Stegostoma tigrinum: one gene and its partner. The protein of the gene in region 1 purifies or fractionates together with the protein of each later gene. This does not show direct contact. Links are inferred from orthologs where the notes say so. Each region holds a gene or a part of one and is shown on either strand. Other genes may lie near its edges.

Region 1 (7,855 bases):
GCTGAGAAGGTGGGGAGACTTCGGAGAAATGTGTACAGATTAGGAGAGTGGGCAATGAAGTGTCAGTTGGAATTCAAAGTAGGGAAGTGTGAGGTTATGCATTTTGGTCGGAAGAACAGAAGCATACACTATTTTTTAAATGGGAAAGAGCTTCAGAAATTTGAAGTACAGAGGATCTTGGGAGTTCTAGTTCAGGATTATCTTAAGGTAAACACATTGGTTCAGCTGGCAGTGAGGAAGGTAAATAAAAAGTTACATTCAATACAAGAAGGCTAGAATACAACAGCAGAGCTGCACTACTGAAGTGTCTGGTCAGACTGCTTTTGGAGTATTTGTGAGTTGCTTTGAACCTGTATTTAAGGATGTGCTGGTGTTGGAGAGCTTCCAGAGGAGGTTCACAGAATTATAGAACATAGAACATAGAACAGTACAGCACAGAACAGGCCCTTCAGCCCACAATGTTGTGCCGACCATTGATCCTCACGTATGCACCCTCAAATTTCTGTGACCATATACATGTCCAGCAGTCTCTTAAATGACCCCAATGACCTTGCTTCCACAACTGCTGCTGGCAACGCATTCCATGCTCTCACAACTCTCTGCGTAAAGAACCTGCCTCTGACATCCCCTCTATACTTTCCACCAACCAGCTTAAAACTATGACCCCTCGTGCTAGCCATTTCTGCCCTGGGAAATAGTCTCTGGCTATCAACTCTATCTATGCCTCTCATTATCTTGTATACCTCAATTAGGTCCCCTCTCCTCCTCCTTTTCTCCAATGAAAAGAGACCGAGCTCAGTCAACCTCTCTTCTTAAGATAAGCCCTCCAGTCCAGGCAGCATCCTGGTAAACCTCCTCTGAACCCTCTCCAAAGCATCCATATCTTTCCGAGAATAGGGCGACCAGAACTGGACGCAGTATTCCAAGTGCGGTCTAACCAAAGTTTTATAGAGCTGCAACAAGATCTCACGACTCTTAAACTCAATCCCCCTGTTAATGAAAGTCCAAACACCATATGCTTTCTTAACAACCCTGTCCACTTGGGTGGCCATTTTAAGAGATCTATGTATCTGCACACCAAGATCACTCTGTTCCTCCACGCTGCCAAGAATCCTATCGTTAATCCTGTACTCAGCTTTCAAATTCGACCTTCCAAAATGCATCACCTTGCATTTATCCAGGTTGAACTCCATCTGCCACCTCTCAGCCCATCTCTGCATCCTGTCAATGTCCCGCTGCAGCCTACAACAGCCCTTTACACTGTTAACGACACCTCCGACCTTTGTGTCGTCTGCAAACTTGCTGACCCATCCTTCAATCCCCTCATCCAAGTCATTAATAAAAATTACAAACAGTAGAGGCCCAAGGACAGAGCCCTGTGGAACCCCACTCACCACTGACTTCCAGGCAGAATATTTTCCTTCTACTACCACTCGCTGTCTTCTGTTGGCCAGCCAATTCAATTATCATGGGAATGAATGGCTTGTCATATGAAGACTGGCTGACAGCTTTGTGTTTGTACTTAATGGAGTTTATGGGGATGAAGGGTGATCTGATTGAAGCTTACAGGAGGTTGGTTAGAATGGGTACGGAGAAGATGTCTCCAATCATCAGAGATACTAGCACCTGAAGATACAGCCTCAAGTGTGAAGGGATGATACTTTAGAATTGAGATGTGGAGGAATTTCTTTCAGCCAGAGAATCGTTAATCTTTGGAACTCAGTGGCACAGAAGGCTGTGGAGGCCAAGTCATTGTGTACATTTAGGAAAGTGATAAAAAGGTTCTTGATTATTAGGGGGATCAAGGATTTATGGGGAGAAGGCAGAAGAATGGGGTTGAGAAACATGTCAGGCACGATTGAAGGGTGAAGCAGACTTGATGGGCTGAATGGCCTAAGTCTGCCAAGTCTGCTTCTACGTTTATGGTCTTATGGTCTGATGCAGCTAGAAAGTTTGAATTCCTATTATCTAAGATATTCTAGTTTTCAATTAGACCAAGGCAAGCAAGGTATATTTTGGAATTACTGTGGAGTTGGAGATGGGTAGAGTTATAACATTTGAAAGGCATCTGGATGGGTATATGAATAAGAAGGGTTTAGAAGGATATGAGCCAAATGCTGGCAAACAGGGCTGGGTCAGATTGGGATGCCTGGTCTGCACGGATGAGTTGGACTGAAGGGTCTGGCTTATGTGCTGCATCACTCCATGTTTACTCTGCACGTGGGTGTGCTTTTATTGGCAAAGGAATACTCAATGCTGACATTGAAAATTAAATTAAAAAATAATATTCCACAGTACTACAGACCAATTTATAAAAAAGAATAATGAATCCCAATGTTAAAAATATTTTATTCGTAAACACTGTTCCTGAATCTTTTCTAGTTTGATTCATCAGTTAAATTGAAAAAGGAGTTTATTGCATGGTGAAACGAAACTGAAAAGATCAGGGACTTTTAGGGATTAAAAACAGAATTTTATTTATTAAATAAAACTATAACAAAATACTAAAATATAACATTTGAAGTCAGCTCTGCTTTCTCTCCACAGATGATGTCAGACCTGTCGAGTTTCTCCATTAATTTCTGTTTTAATTTATATACCTTGTTTTCAAGGTTCGCACAAATATTCTGGATGAAGATTAATGTTTTTGAAATCCAGGTAAACACTGCTCCCCAGACAATAAAATGTGAGGCTGGATGAACACAGCAGGCCCAGCAGCATCTCAGGAGCACAAAAGCTGACGTTTCGGGCCTAGACCCTTCATCAGAGAGGGGGATGGGGTGAGGGTTCTGGAATAAATAGGGAGAGAGGGGGAGGCGGACTGAAGATGGAGAGAAAAGAAGATAGGTGGAGAGGAGAGTGTAGGTGGGGAGGTAGGGAGGGGATAGGTCAGTCCAGGGAAGACGGACAGGTCAAGGAGGTGGGATGAGGTTAGTAGGTAGATGGGGGTGCGGCTTCGGGTGGGAGGAAGGGATGGGTGAGAGGAAGAACAGGTTAGGGAGGCAGAGACAGGTTGGACTGGTTTTGGGATGCAGTGGGTGGAGGGGAAGAGCTGGGCTGGTTGTGTGGTGCAGTGGAGGGAGGGGACGAACTGGGCTGGTTTTGGGATGCGGTGGGGGAAGGGGAGATTTTGAAGCTGGTGAAGTCCACATTGATACCATTGGGCTGCAGGGTTCCCAAGCGGAATATGAGTTGCTGTTCCTGCAACCTTCGGGTGGCATCATTGTGGCACTGCAGGAGGCCCATGATGGACATGTCATCTAAAGAATGGGAGGGGGAGTGGAAATGGTTTGCGACTGGGAGGTGCAGTTGTTTATTGCAAACCGAGCGGAGGTGTTCTGCAAAGCAGTCCCCAAGCCTCCGCTTGGTTTCCCCAATGTAGAGGAAGCCACACCGGGTACAGTGGATGCAGTATACCACATTGGCAGATGTGCAGCTGAACCTCTGCTTAATGTGGAAAGTCATCTTGGGGCCTGGGATAGGGGTGAGGGAGGAGGTGTGGGGGCAAGTGTAGCATTTCCTGCAGTTGCAGGGGAAGGTGCCGGTGTGATGGGGTTGGAGGGCTTGGGGACCACTTTGCAGAACACCTCCGCTCAGTTCGCAATAAACAACTGCACCTCCCGGTCGCAAACCATTTCCACTCCCCCTCCATTCTTTAGATGACATGTCCATCATGGGCCTCCTGCAGTGCCACAAGGATGCCACCCGAAGGTTGCAGGTACAGCAACTCATATTCCGCTTGGGAACCCTGCAGCCCAATGGTATCAATGTGGACTTCACCAGCTTCAAAATCTCCCCTTCCCCCACCGCATCCCAAAACCAGCCCAGCTCTTCCCCTCCACCCACTGCATCACACAACCAGCCCAGCTCTTCCCCTCCACCCACTGCATCCCAAAACCAGTCCAACCTGTCTCTGCCTCCCTAACCTGTTCTTCCTCTCACCCATCCCTTCCTCCCACCACAAGCCGCACCTCCATCTCCTACCTACTAACCTCATCCCACCTCCTTCATCTGTCCATCTTCCCTGGACTGACCTATCCCCTCCCTACCTCCCCACCTACACTCTCTCCACCTATCTTCTTTTCTCTCCATCTTCGGTCCGCCTCCCCCTCTCTCCCTATTTATTCCAGAACCCTCTCCCCATCCCCCTCTCTGATGAAAACGTCAGCTTTTGTGCTCCTGAGATGCTGCTTGGCCTGCTGTGTTCATCCAGCCTCACATTTTATTGTCTTGGATTCTCCAGCATCTGTAGTTCCCATTATCACAAACACTGCTCCCCAAACGTGCTCATTTGTCAACATTCTCCTCAGGCACAAACATGATCAAGCTCCGCCCAAGGTGTCAAGTGGGTCACATCGCCGCAGTGGCACCGACTGCCACCAGGCGGCGGTAGGTGCTCGGGACAGCAGCTGACGGGTCTGCGCGGCATTCCACGGGCGCTCGGGCCGATGGGAATTGTAGTCCACTCTGCGGGAGGCGACCGTCGCAGGGAAAGGGAGCTCGGGCGCGAGTGAACTACAACGTCCGTAATGCATCGCGGTTAGGTTATTGTAGGGGGGAAATGGGTGTGACTAGAGGCCTGGATTGGGGGGGGGTGCAGAAACAAATAGAGCGCCACTCTCAGCCCCCAGAGCGGTTGTTGGAGCCGATCTCCCTCCGCCCCCCCCCAGCTTGGTTAGCGCCAGGGCCTTGTCCGCGCTTATAAAATCATAAATAGGTTTCGGCGGCTGCTCCTTTCGACTGTGCGCCCTTTTCTTTGTACACGGCGTCGTTGATTGAAAAAAATTAATAATAAAACCGGTGAGGGCGAATGGGGGAGGGGAGGGCGAGCGGCTGATGCGGCTAATGACGTCAGTTGCCCTTTGGCCCTGTTTTCATGATGGCCGTTTGCGTCGTTTAGAAGCCCCGGGATCTGCGGAGTGAGGAGAGAGAGAGGGCCGTCCCGAACCGTCCCGTCCCCCCACCCCCTGCCTCCGCCACCACTACACAAAAACACACACACCCACCCATAGAGAGAGAGAGAGAGAGAGCGGGATCGTGCGGAAAACATCGAGCTCTGGTTTTGTTTGCGCGTGTGATTTTTTTTCTCTCGATCGTGTGATTATTTTGTTTGCTTTGGCCTCGCCGCCTTCTGTCCTCCCTCCCTTCCCCCGCGGAAAAAAAAATCATCACTATCACCACCAACAACAACAAAAGGACAGGGAAGCGACACTCGAAGGGGGAAAAAAAGATGAAAGACAAGCAGAAGAAGAAGAAGGACCGCACGTGGGCTGAGGCTGCCCGCATGGTAACTAAGAGCCGTTTGAGATTTTCATTCCCCCATTCAGAACCATCTGAAATGGGTTCATGACCCGATGGGGGGCGGGCGTTCAGCGCTGGCTCCTCTAACAATAATAATGTGGCAATCAAAATTCATCCAGCACATGTTTATCCTCTGTGTGAGTGTGTGTGGATGTGTGAGTGTGAGAGAGATTGTGTCCTGGACGTGTAACCCAACAACTAACTCGCGTCTCTCCCCAGTGCTTTTATTATTTTTGCTTTTAAAAATGTTTATTTTTTTTCCTTCTTCCACCCCCCTGCACAAAGATTGCAGCAGGTTTTGGGGAGATAATTGCATGTACTTCTTTTGCATGTGGTTGGTTTATATGAGGAATACATGTAGGCATTTTAATGCGCATGATGTAAATGCTTACCCGTGACATGGTGAATCTCAATTATTCATGTGTGCATTTTTTCGCTGTTGTTAGACATTTGTATAACGAGCTCATTTTTGGTGTCAGGGAGGAAGGTAGCTCGTAAGCTATTAAAGATACTTTCCCTTATTCTTTGTGTCCCATAATGTGGTGAAATTTAATATGCATTGCATTATTGTAGCCACTGATCCATTTTTCCTTTGGCTTTCTTTGTCTTTAAGAAGCCCATAGTTATACAGACAAGGATTCTTAGCTATAAATGAATTACATACTGTGTACTGTAACTGGTTGAGTTACGTCTGAGTCTTGTCTCCAGTGTGATCATCATGGCATGCTCCCAAGTTGTGAAATTTTGCTTTCCATTTAGCTCTGTTTATGTTTCCATTTGCACCTCTATCATGTAATTTTTTTGAAAATATGCACCTTGTAGAAGTAAAATTGATTGGAATTGCTGACATTTTTAAAAGCATTTATGATTTTTTTTGGTATCATAATTTTGGCCCATTGATGTTGATCATAAAAGCCCTATCTTAAGATTGGGTGGCATGTTTTGTTTTGCCACATTATGTTGTCAATCTGCCTTGGTTTTTTAGTGATTTTACTTTGTAGAAATTTATATACTGCATCTGATCATCTAAACAATTCATTGAGTATCGTTTTGAAAAACTTGGAGTTTAGAAGTTTCAAATAAAATATACAGGTATTGAATAGTATCAGCAGTTACTGTTCATTAAATTAATAGTCTTGGTGCTAAACATTTTAAGTAGCAGGATTGCTAAACATGAATATTGGTTGTCAATTAGGTTGCAGTAAGCATACACTTAGCCTTTGAAAAAAAGCATCCCACTATACTGTAGGTTTTCTAGAAAATTTTATAGATCAGAGTAGTAATTCAATATTTACAACTGTTGTGCTAAAGCTTTTATTTCCCTAACCTTAGTATAGCATCAATTTCAAGGAACCCTTTTTTAATGTTCAGCCAAACATTGGTTACCACTGTGGACCTTATTTAAAGCAGCAACCAAATGTCATTCATTTACTGTACTTTCAAAACTGCCTTATTATCATCACCTCATTAACAATCTAGTGAGTACTCTTGTATCACATAGCTGGAAGTTTTATTGATAAATTCAGTATTTAACTGAGAATGCATTGTGATACTTCTGAGGCAGCAGGAATCGTTTGGCAAAACCAATCATATCTGCAAGTCAGTAATTTCAGTGTCCATCATTTTCAGCATGATGCTTTTATTACCCTTGTCTAAGTCATAATATGATCTAATGGAGAATCCTAGAATCAATGAGTATGTGCAAGAGGCTAAAAAGAAACAACCATCTGTCTTAACTGAAACTTTGCTTGTTTTTTTTTAAGCTTCAAGGAGCAACCATGGTGGAGCTCTTCTGTTGCATCTTTGTTAGGTATTTACAGTTGTCTTATCCTTTTCCTTTCTTTAGGGCAAATGGAAATACAGCATCGGGCATGCATGTGAACACTACTAACTCTACCACAAAGACATGCTTTTGTTTTTTTTACTCTGATGTCTGCAATGGCATCCCTTTCTTTTCAGCTGCTAAAACTGGTTTTGATTGGAATTGCTGCCCATTGCCACTCGTTCTCCATTTCATTTCCTGAGATGACAATGGTAGCCAGTTGCTGTGAATAATAGCACCAGTGTCCAACATGGTGACAGACGTTAAGTTCATTGTAGAAGCTTTGAAATATTTAGTATATTTTTTTGAAAACAAACATCATTTACGTGCTTCCAAAAACTGTGTTTTACACCATTACAGTGGGCTTTGCGTATCACTGGGTTGGATTTAGAGTGGGCAGTTTATTTTCATAGTAAGAAATTCTGACACTGCCTTTTGTGATTGATACCTAAAATCAGGCATTGTTTAAAAGTGCTGCTGCCATTGAACTCATTTTTCTATTGTATCCTAAGTTAGGCAATTTATTGTTTTATAGTTTCAAAATCTAACATTGAAAACTTGAGCTGTATTTCTGTTACTTTGCAGTTGACAGCAATGATGGAAGTTAAGTGTGCTGACCACTTTTGATTTACATGAAGTTGAGCCAGAATTAGCTATCAAGTCAGGGCTAATGGTACTAAAGGTTTATAAACAAATTATACAGAAAGATCAGGAGGGAGGAAAAGAATAGTC
Region 2 (7,543 bases), on another chromosome or scaffold:
CACCCTGTCTGGCCATCTTGGTATACAGGACAGTTAAATAAAGTTGTATCTGTGATATCTGTTGTCTGTGTCCTTAACCCTGCAAACAATGAAAGTTTGTTGCGTTTCATTGTTAACATAAATGACAGGTTTTTTTGTCCATATGACATTTGGAAAATGCTTATATTGGGATTAGTGCATCCCTTCAAAATTTCAGCACAAACATTTGGCACTGATGCTGAGGTTTCACTCAGAAATCTAATATACAATTTTGCTTCAGCCTGCAACTAATAATACACCGTAGGAGTGGTGCAAAGAAGAATTACTGCTATGCTGAATTCATCTCTGCTTACCTTGAATCTGTCCTCCCGACCCCCCCCCCCCCCAAAAAAAACACCTCATCTTCGGTGTGGTCATCCAGTCCCTATACACTTTTATCCCCCACACAGATGACCTAAAAGTCCTCTGCTTCTTCATCTCCCGCAGGCCCAACTAGTCCCCCTCATGGGCCCAAGCTATGCCTGCTTTTTCATAGGATACATGGAACAGTCCCTTTTCCACTGTTACATTGGCACTATCCCACCCCCTTCCTCTGCTACATAGGTGACTGTATTGTGCTGCCTCATGCTCCCACAAGTAGTTCAGAAAATTTATTCACACCTTTCACCTGAACCTCAAATTTACCTGGTCCATCTTCCCTCTCCATCCTGGACCCCTCTGTCTCCATTTCTGCCTCGAAATTGACATGTATTTCAAGCCCAATGAATCCCATGGCTATCTAGACTACACCACCTCTCACCCACCCTCCTGCAAGAGTGCAAACCCTACTCCCAATTCCTCTGCATCTACTCCCAAGATGGAGTGTTCCACTCCCAAACATCCCAGATGTCTTCCAATTTCAAGGCCCGCAACATCTCCACCCCAGGCCCCCCCACCCCCCGTGATCAAAAATGCCATCAACTGCATCTCTCACATTTCCTGGACTTCTGCCCTCAAAACCCCTCCCCCCTCTCCCAACAAAAATACAGAATTCCCCCTTCTCCTCACCTATCAGCCCACCAACCTCCACATCCAGTGTATCACGTTCCACCACTTCTGCCACCTACAATCTGACTCCACAACCAAAGAGATATTTCCCTCCCCACCCCATCTGCTTTTTGTGAGGATCGCTCACTGCAGCTCACTCGTCTACTCCACATTACCCACTAACCCCACACACCTGGCACCTTTCCCTGCAACTGCAGGAACTCCTGCACCTGCCCTAAACCTCCATTCAAGGCCCAAAACAAACCTTTCATATCAGACAGAGGTTCACCTGTACTTCTGTCAACTTGGTCTAATGTATCCATGGCTCCCGCTGTGGCCTTCTGTACGTCACAGACCATTTCGTAGAGCATCTGCACGCTGTACGTGACAAATGACAACACCTTCCAGTCACCAACCATTTTAACTCCCCTTCCCACTGAAATGTCCATCCTGAACCACCTCCAGTGTCACAATGACACTATCCACAAACTGGAGGAGCAACACCTCATTTCACCTTGGGAGCCTTACAGCCCAATGGCCTAAACACAGAATTCACCAGTTTTAAAATCTCCCCACCCCAGGCTTCAAGCCATGTCTGACCCTCCCTCTCATCCCTGCTGCCTTGACCTGACACAACCTGTCCACCTTCTCTCCCACCTAGCCACCACTCCCTACCTACACTCACCTATCACCATCCCACCTACCTTCCCCAGCCCAATCGTCCTCTCTATCTATTTCCCAGCTCCCTTCCCCCTCCCCATTTCTGAAGAAAACATCAACTTTCCTGCTCCTCTGCTGCCTGGCCTGCTGTGTTCCCTCAACTCCACACTGTGTTATCTCTGACTCCATCATCTGCGGTTCTTGCTATCTCTGTTACTCCTACACTAAACTCTTCGCTGCCGTTCACTGTTGTTTTGTCTGTACCAGCAGGAAAGAGTGAGGGACCATAAGCAAGCACAGCAGTAGGGATAAGTTAAAGAGAGGGTAAATGCTAGTAAACACTGTCCAGACTCCACCTGCAGCTACTCGATTACATACAGAGCTGATCAGTCAGTGTTTAATTTAAAATTCAACATATTTTACTTGTTGACCATACTCAATTTGTGCTGCCCTTGCAGATGCATCAAAATATGTTCCCTCAGAAAATGTCATTATTTGTCATGGATTTCACAAAGTCCAAGTACATAGTTAAATGTCGTGAGCCTGGTTTGGACTTAGCAAATTGAATGCAAGAAGGTTGATTCAGGTTCAAAGAATTGAAGATAGAGTGAAAATAAATCACTGATTTGCTTTGTACTTAATTGATGGGTCAAATGACAGCATTCTCTGAATACTTGGCAGATTTGGGAGTAGTAGGGAGAGAGAGTCAGTGTATGAGAATGATAACCTGTTATCACAGCGTGTAACATGCAATTCCTACATATGTCTGTATCCCATAATGACAGCCTACAAGGCCTCAGTTTTTTTCCTCTCAAACAGACCCATCCAGACCCCTCCTCTGCCTAGCCGAACTAGTTCTTAACCTAAATAACTTTTCCTTCAATTCTTCACACTTTCTCCAAATCCACAGGAGTGTTGCATAGGCCTCAGCTGCTGCTGCCTCTTTGTCGGTTATGTTGAACAGTCCCTCTTCAGTACATACACCGGTACTGTTCCCCAATTCTTCCACTGCTACATCAATGACTGCATCGGTGCTACGTCCTGCACTTGGTGAACTGGAGCAGTTCATTGACTTCGCAAACAACTTCCACCCAGCCCTTAAATTCACTTGGTCCATCTCAGATACCTCCCTCCCATTTCTCAACCTCTCAGTTTCCATTTCTGGCATGTTTACGGACTGACATTGACTATAAATCCACAGACTCTCACAGCTACCTCGACTGCACCATCTCCTATCTGTATCCTGCAAAAACTCCATCCCGTTTGCCCAATTCCTCTGTCTCCATTTTATGTGCTTTGATGAGATGTTCCATTCCCAAGCATCCAGGATGTTGTCTTTTTTCAAGTAATGTTCTTTTCCCCACTCTCATCCAGATAGCCCTCCACCTTGTTGCCTCCATTCGCCGCTCCACAGCTTTAAACCACCACCTCCCAAAACATCATAAAAATAGGGTTTCCCATGTCCTCACTTTCCACCCCAAGAGCCTCTGCATCCAACATATCATGCTGAAACACTTCCGTCAACTCCAATTAGATCCCACCATCCAAAAAATCTTACATTCCTCACCCCTCTCTGCCTTCCGCAAGGACCATTCCCTTTGCCGCTCCTTAGTTCACACCACACTGCTCACTAACCACCCCAAACCCTGCCCCAGTACCTTCACCTATGACTGTAAAAGATGCAACACCTGTAAACACCACCTCCTTCACCTCCAGCCAGAGCCCTAAACAGTCTCTTCCAACCTAGTCTACTGCATCCGGTGCTCCCAATGTCGTCTTCTTTAAATCGATAAGACTAAATGTAGCCTAGGTGACTGTTTCACCGAGCATCTTGACCTAGCCTATAACGGTCAACCTAACCAGCCAGTCACCATCCACTTCAACTGCCCACTCCTGTCCTACTCTGACGTGCTTTCTCTACCTCCTTTGGTGTCACAATTCAGAAAGCAAATCTGAGGAACACCATTTTATCTTCTGCCAGGGCACCTACAACCTAGAGGACTGAACACGGTTCTCTAATTTCAAGTAACCCTCCCACCCATCTCCTGCCACCTCTCTTCCAACCACTAACTGCTTTGAACCCTCCCATTAACAAACTAGGTCACACCTACTACTACTGCCCATCTATCACCACCAGTTGGCTGGACCCACACCCCCACCCCCACCCCACCCACGCCCCCACCACATTTAGTCACGTGTAAGATAAAATAATACCAACATGATTTAAGAAAACTTATTATTTCATTATAAATTATCAGCGATCACAAGAAATTTCGTACCAAAATCACTTATGTTAAGACCCTGCTTTTAACATTATAAGGCAATATAAATATAGGAATTAGTGGGCAAAATAATTTGTCACATCCACTCAAATAACAATCTTTTTTATAACATGCTTCGCATCGCTTCAGGCCTTGACGTTGCATTTATACTCATACGCTGAACAAGAGCGACGAGCGACATACTATAACTGCTTAATTTTAAAATAAAACACTTTTATGTTTCATCACACCCTTTAAGGCCACGTGGCTCTTAGTTAACTATCACTAATTCTTAAGATAGTCACGATCATCGTTCCAGGAACTCACGTGAACATTCTCGACTTTTCCACAGAATGGTTTTTAAGCGCATGCGCTTCCATCCCCACAGCCGCCGCAATGCTGATGCGCAGTGATACCCTATTGTGATTCATTGATGAGTGCAGTACACGTTTTAATGTCTGGTCCTTCCGCGAGAGTCCTATGAATTTGGAAAGCTGTCCGAATTTGAAATATCTAAAGGAATATGCGTAATGACAACTCAATAAAGTTACAAAGCTCTTCCGATAAGACTTGCGAATTATGTCGTTTCTGGAATTGTGATCGGGTTTTTATGAGTAGAGAGACTCTTTGACGCGAAAGTAGTCCCGATTAGAATTCTCATTCCGGGCGCCATCTGCACACCAGAGAGAAGAGAAACTGAGTTGACGGCCGACAAACGCGCGATGTTCATTAGCAGCAGTAAATATTTCTTTTTGTGAAATTTCACACAAACTGTGGTGACGAAGGCAAATTGACGTGAGGTTGCCGCGATCGACTGCGTTAGAATATTCAGGCCTCGGCACTCAGCCATCGATTGACTGGGACAGTGACACAAGCGAAACCCAGTTAAAACCTGCCCCGAAAGAGGAAGCGGCTTGGATTGAGCTGCACCCCGAACGAGAGCATGGCGGCGTCGGTTGGGGGTGTAACAGACAGCACAGGTGAGAAACATAGAAGGGGAGTATCGATGCAGATTCGGCTGGTACCATTTGATTGTTATGAAATGAAACCCGAGATTTGAAGTAGAGTGGAGCAGTTCCGTCAGTACAAATCCGGTTGAATCCCCGGAAGAGAAGGAAACGCGTAGGAAAAGCATGAGGCCGACTTGCATTTTTCCCCCCGCTGTCCTGTGTGGGATGTTACGACCCAGATTACTTAGTTGAGAGTACTGCTATTATTGTGTATGAGAACCGGTCAGATTAGTGTTCCTTTGGATATTGTTTATCACAATGATGCATACACAAAGGTATTCATGCGTAAAGAAACCAAGTCAATGGAGGAAGGAAAAAAACCTGGCTGGTGAGTTTCGGTGAGATCAGTGTCATGAAAGCGTAATTAATCCAGCGCAGAAATCGTAACATGGATCAGTACAACTGGGTATGTTGGCCTATTGGCCTAAGGATTTTTGAAGCGGCCAATCAAGTTTCAATATACTTTGGCACTTTTGAACAGTCTCTTGTTATTTGCTAACTTTTAAGCATAAATGATTTTAATTAAAATTTGACTTACTTTATCAATAAGCATAGAGTCTGTAAAATCACACATCATCCGGATGAAGGGTTTAGGCCCGAAACGTCAGCTTTTGTGCTCCTGAGATGCTGCTTGGCCTGCGGTGTTCATCCAGCGTCATGCTTTGTTATCTTAGTCACTGTGTGTGCTTGGTCCGTATTCTTCCAAACATTTCGTATTCATGTACTGACCCAGGTGGCTTTTAAACACTAACTGTATCTGCATCCATCTACTTCTTCTAAAAGGTCATTCATGCATGAACCAATCTGGGGGAGGGGAAGGGGGAGAAATAGCCCTTCATGTCTTTTATTTTTAACCTTTCTCCTCTCGTCTTAAAAATGTGACCCCCCCCAGTCTTGAAATCCCCTGGCTTAGGGAAAAGACAAGTTGCAATTCACTTCCTCTGTGCCCTCATGATTTTATAAACTTCTGTATGGTTCCCCCCCCCCCTCACCACCTGTGGTAAAATGGTAAAAAGGTAAAAAATCATAGCTTATTCAGCCTCTCCAATAACTTAAACCTCTGTTCCTGGGAATGCACTGGTAAATCTCTTCTGAACCAACTCCAGCTTAATAATATCCTTCCGAGAATGGGGAGACCAGAACTGGCACAGTACTCCAGAAGAGGCCTCACCAACATCCTGTACAATCTCAACATGACATCCCAATACCTATATGTGAAAGGTCTGAGTGATGAAAGCAACCATGCTATATATCTTCCCAATCACTTTATTTATGTGATGCAAACTTCAAAGAATTATGTACCTGAACCCCTAGGTGTCTCTGTTCTGCAATGCTGCTACTTGGCCCTACTTTGAATTGTATAAGCACTGCCCTTGTTTGTTTTAGCAAGATGCAAAGTCTCACATTTATCCCGCTTAAACTCCAGCTGTCATTCTTCATCCCATTGTCCTAAGTGACTAAGAGCTCTTCGTGACTTAGATAGCAAGTGACCACTACAATACCAATCTGGGTGTCATCTGCTAATGTAGTAGGCTGCTTCCTATATTCTCATTTAATCATTAACAAACAGAAGTGGACCAAGCATCAATCCCTACGGAAAAGGGCTGGTCATAGGTCTCCCATCCGTGAAATGTCCCTCTGTCTGATGTTAAACGAATTTTGTATCCAATTGGCAAGCTCACCCTGAATCCCACATTATCTAACTTCACTAATAGCTGAGCATATGGTCAGATAAATAAATGATCGTGGTGTGAGTGCACAAATGGGGTGGAAAAGGGAGAGTTTGCTACCGTCAGCATTATTCAGCTGTACACAGGGTTAAATGGGATTAGTATCTATTGGTAAATGTAATTCAGCATCATGGGGCTCAGTGGGTAAACACTTTACCTCACTGTACCAGAAACCTGGGTTTGATTTCAGCCTTGGATGACTGAATGTTGAATTTGCATGTTCTCCCATGTCTGCATGGGTTTCTGTCAGGCCCCACAGTCCACAGATATGCAGGCTAGGTGGCTCAGGTGTGGTAAATGTGGGATTATGAGCACAGGGTGGGGTGCTGTTCAGAGGGTTGATGCAGACTTATTGGACTGAATGGCCACTTTCCACATTGTGGATATTCTATCACTCTTAATGTAGAGGCAACATTTCCTGACAGTGTATTTTTAGACAGCAAGGTAGTCATGTAGATACAAAAATGTCATGTTTAGGATTTTCCGCTCCAGAGATTAAAACCATAAGACAGAGGAAGAGAATTTAGGCCGTTCAGCCTATCGAGTCTGCTCTGCCATTCAACCATGGCGGATAAATTCCTCACCCCAATCTCCTGTTTTCTCCCTGTAACCCTTGATCCTCTTGATAATCAAGAACCTGCCTATTGCAGCCTTAAATGTACTCAGTGATTTGGCCTCCACAGCCTTCCGTGGCAGTGAATTCCAGAGGTTCACCACTCTCTGGCTGAAGAAGTTTCTCCTTATCTCTGTTCTAAAAGGTTTTCCGTTTACTCCAAGGCTGTGCCCTTGGATCCTAGTCACCCCTACCAATGAAAGCATGTTCCCAACGTCCACTCTATCCAGGCCATTCAGCATTCTTAAATTTTAGGATTAGGAT

The links.
Region 2: the proteins of polycomb group protein ASXL1-like (region 1) and UDP-N-acetylglucosamine--peptide N-acetylglucosaminyltransferase 110 kDa subunit purify together in Homo sapiens (affinity purification with mass spectrometry; 3 studies listed by BioGRID and IntAct, with this or other methods). This does not show direct contact. The link is inferred for Stegostoma tigrinum from reciprocal best matches to the Homo sapiens genes ASXL1 and OGT.

The regions. Positions count from the first base shown.
Region 1 is NC_081372.1:26,306,982-26,314,836, reverse strand, and holds the start of polycomb group protein ASXL1-like, read left to right. Parts: upstream 1-4,846; 5' UTR 4,847-5,230; coding exon 5,231-5,287; intron 5,288-7,855.
Region 2 is NC_081368.1:40,714,683-40,722,225, reverse strand, and holds the start of UDP-N-acetylglucosamine--peptide N-acetylglucosaminyltransferase 110 kDa subunit, read left to right. Parts: upstream 1-4,529; 5' UTR 4,530-4,869; coding exon 4,870-4,906; intron 4,907-7,543. UniProt on the Homo sapiens protein: Catalyzes the transfer of a single N-acetylglucosamine from UDP-GlcNAc to a serine or threonine residue in cytoplasmic and nuclear proteins resulting in their modification with a beta-linked N-acetylglucosamine (O-GlcNAc).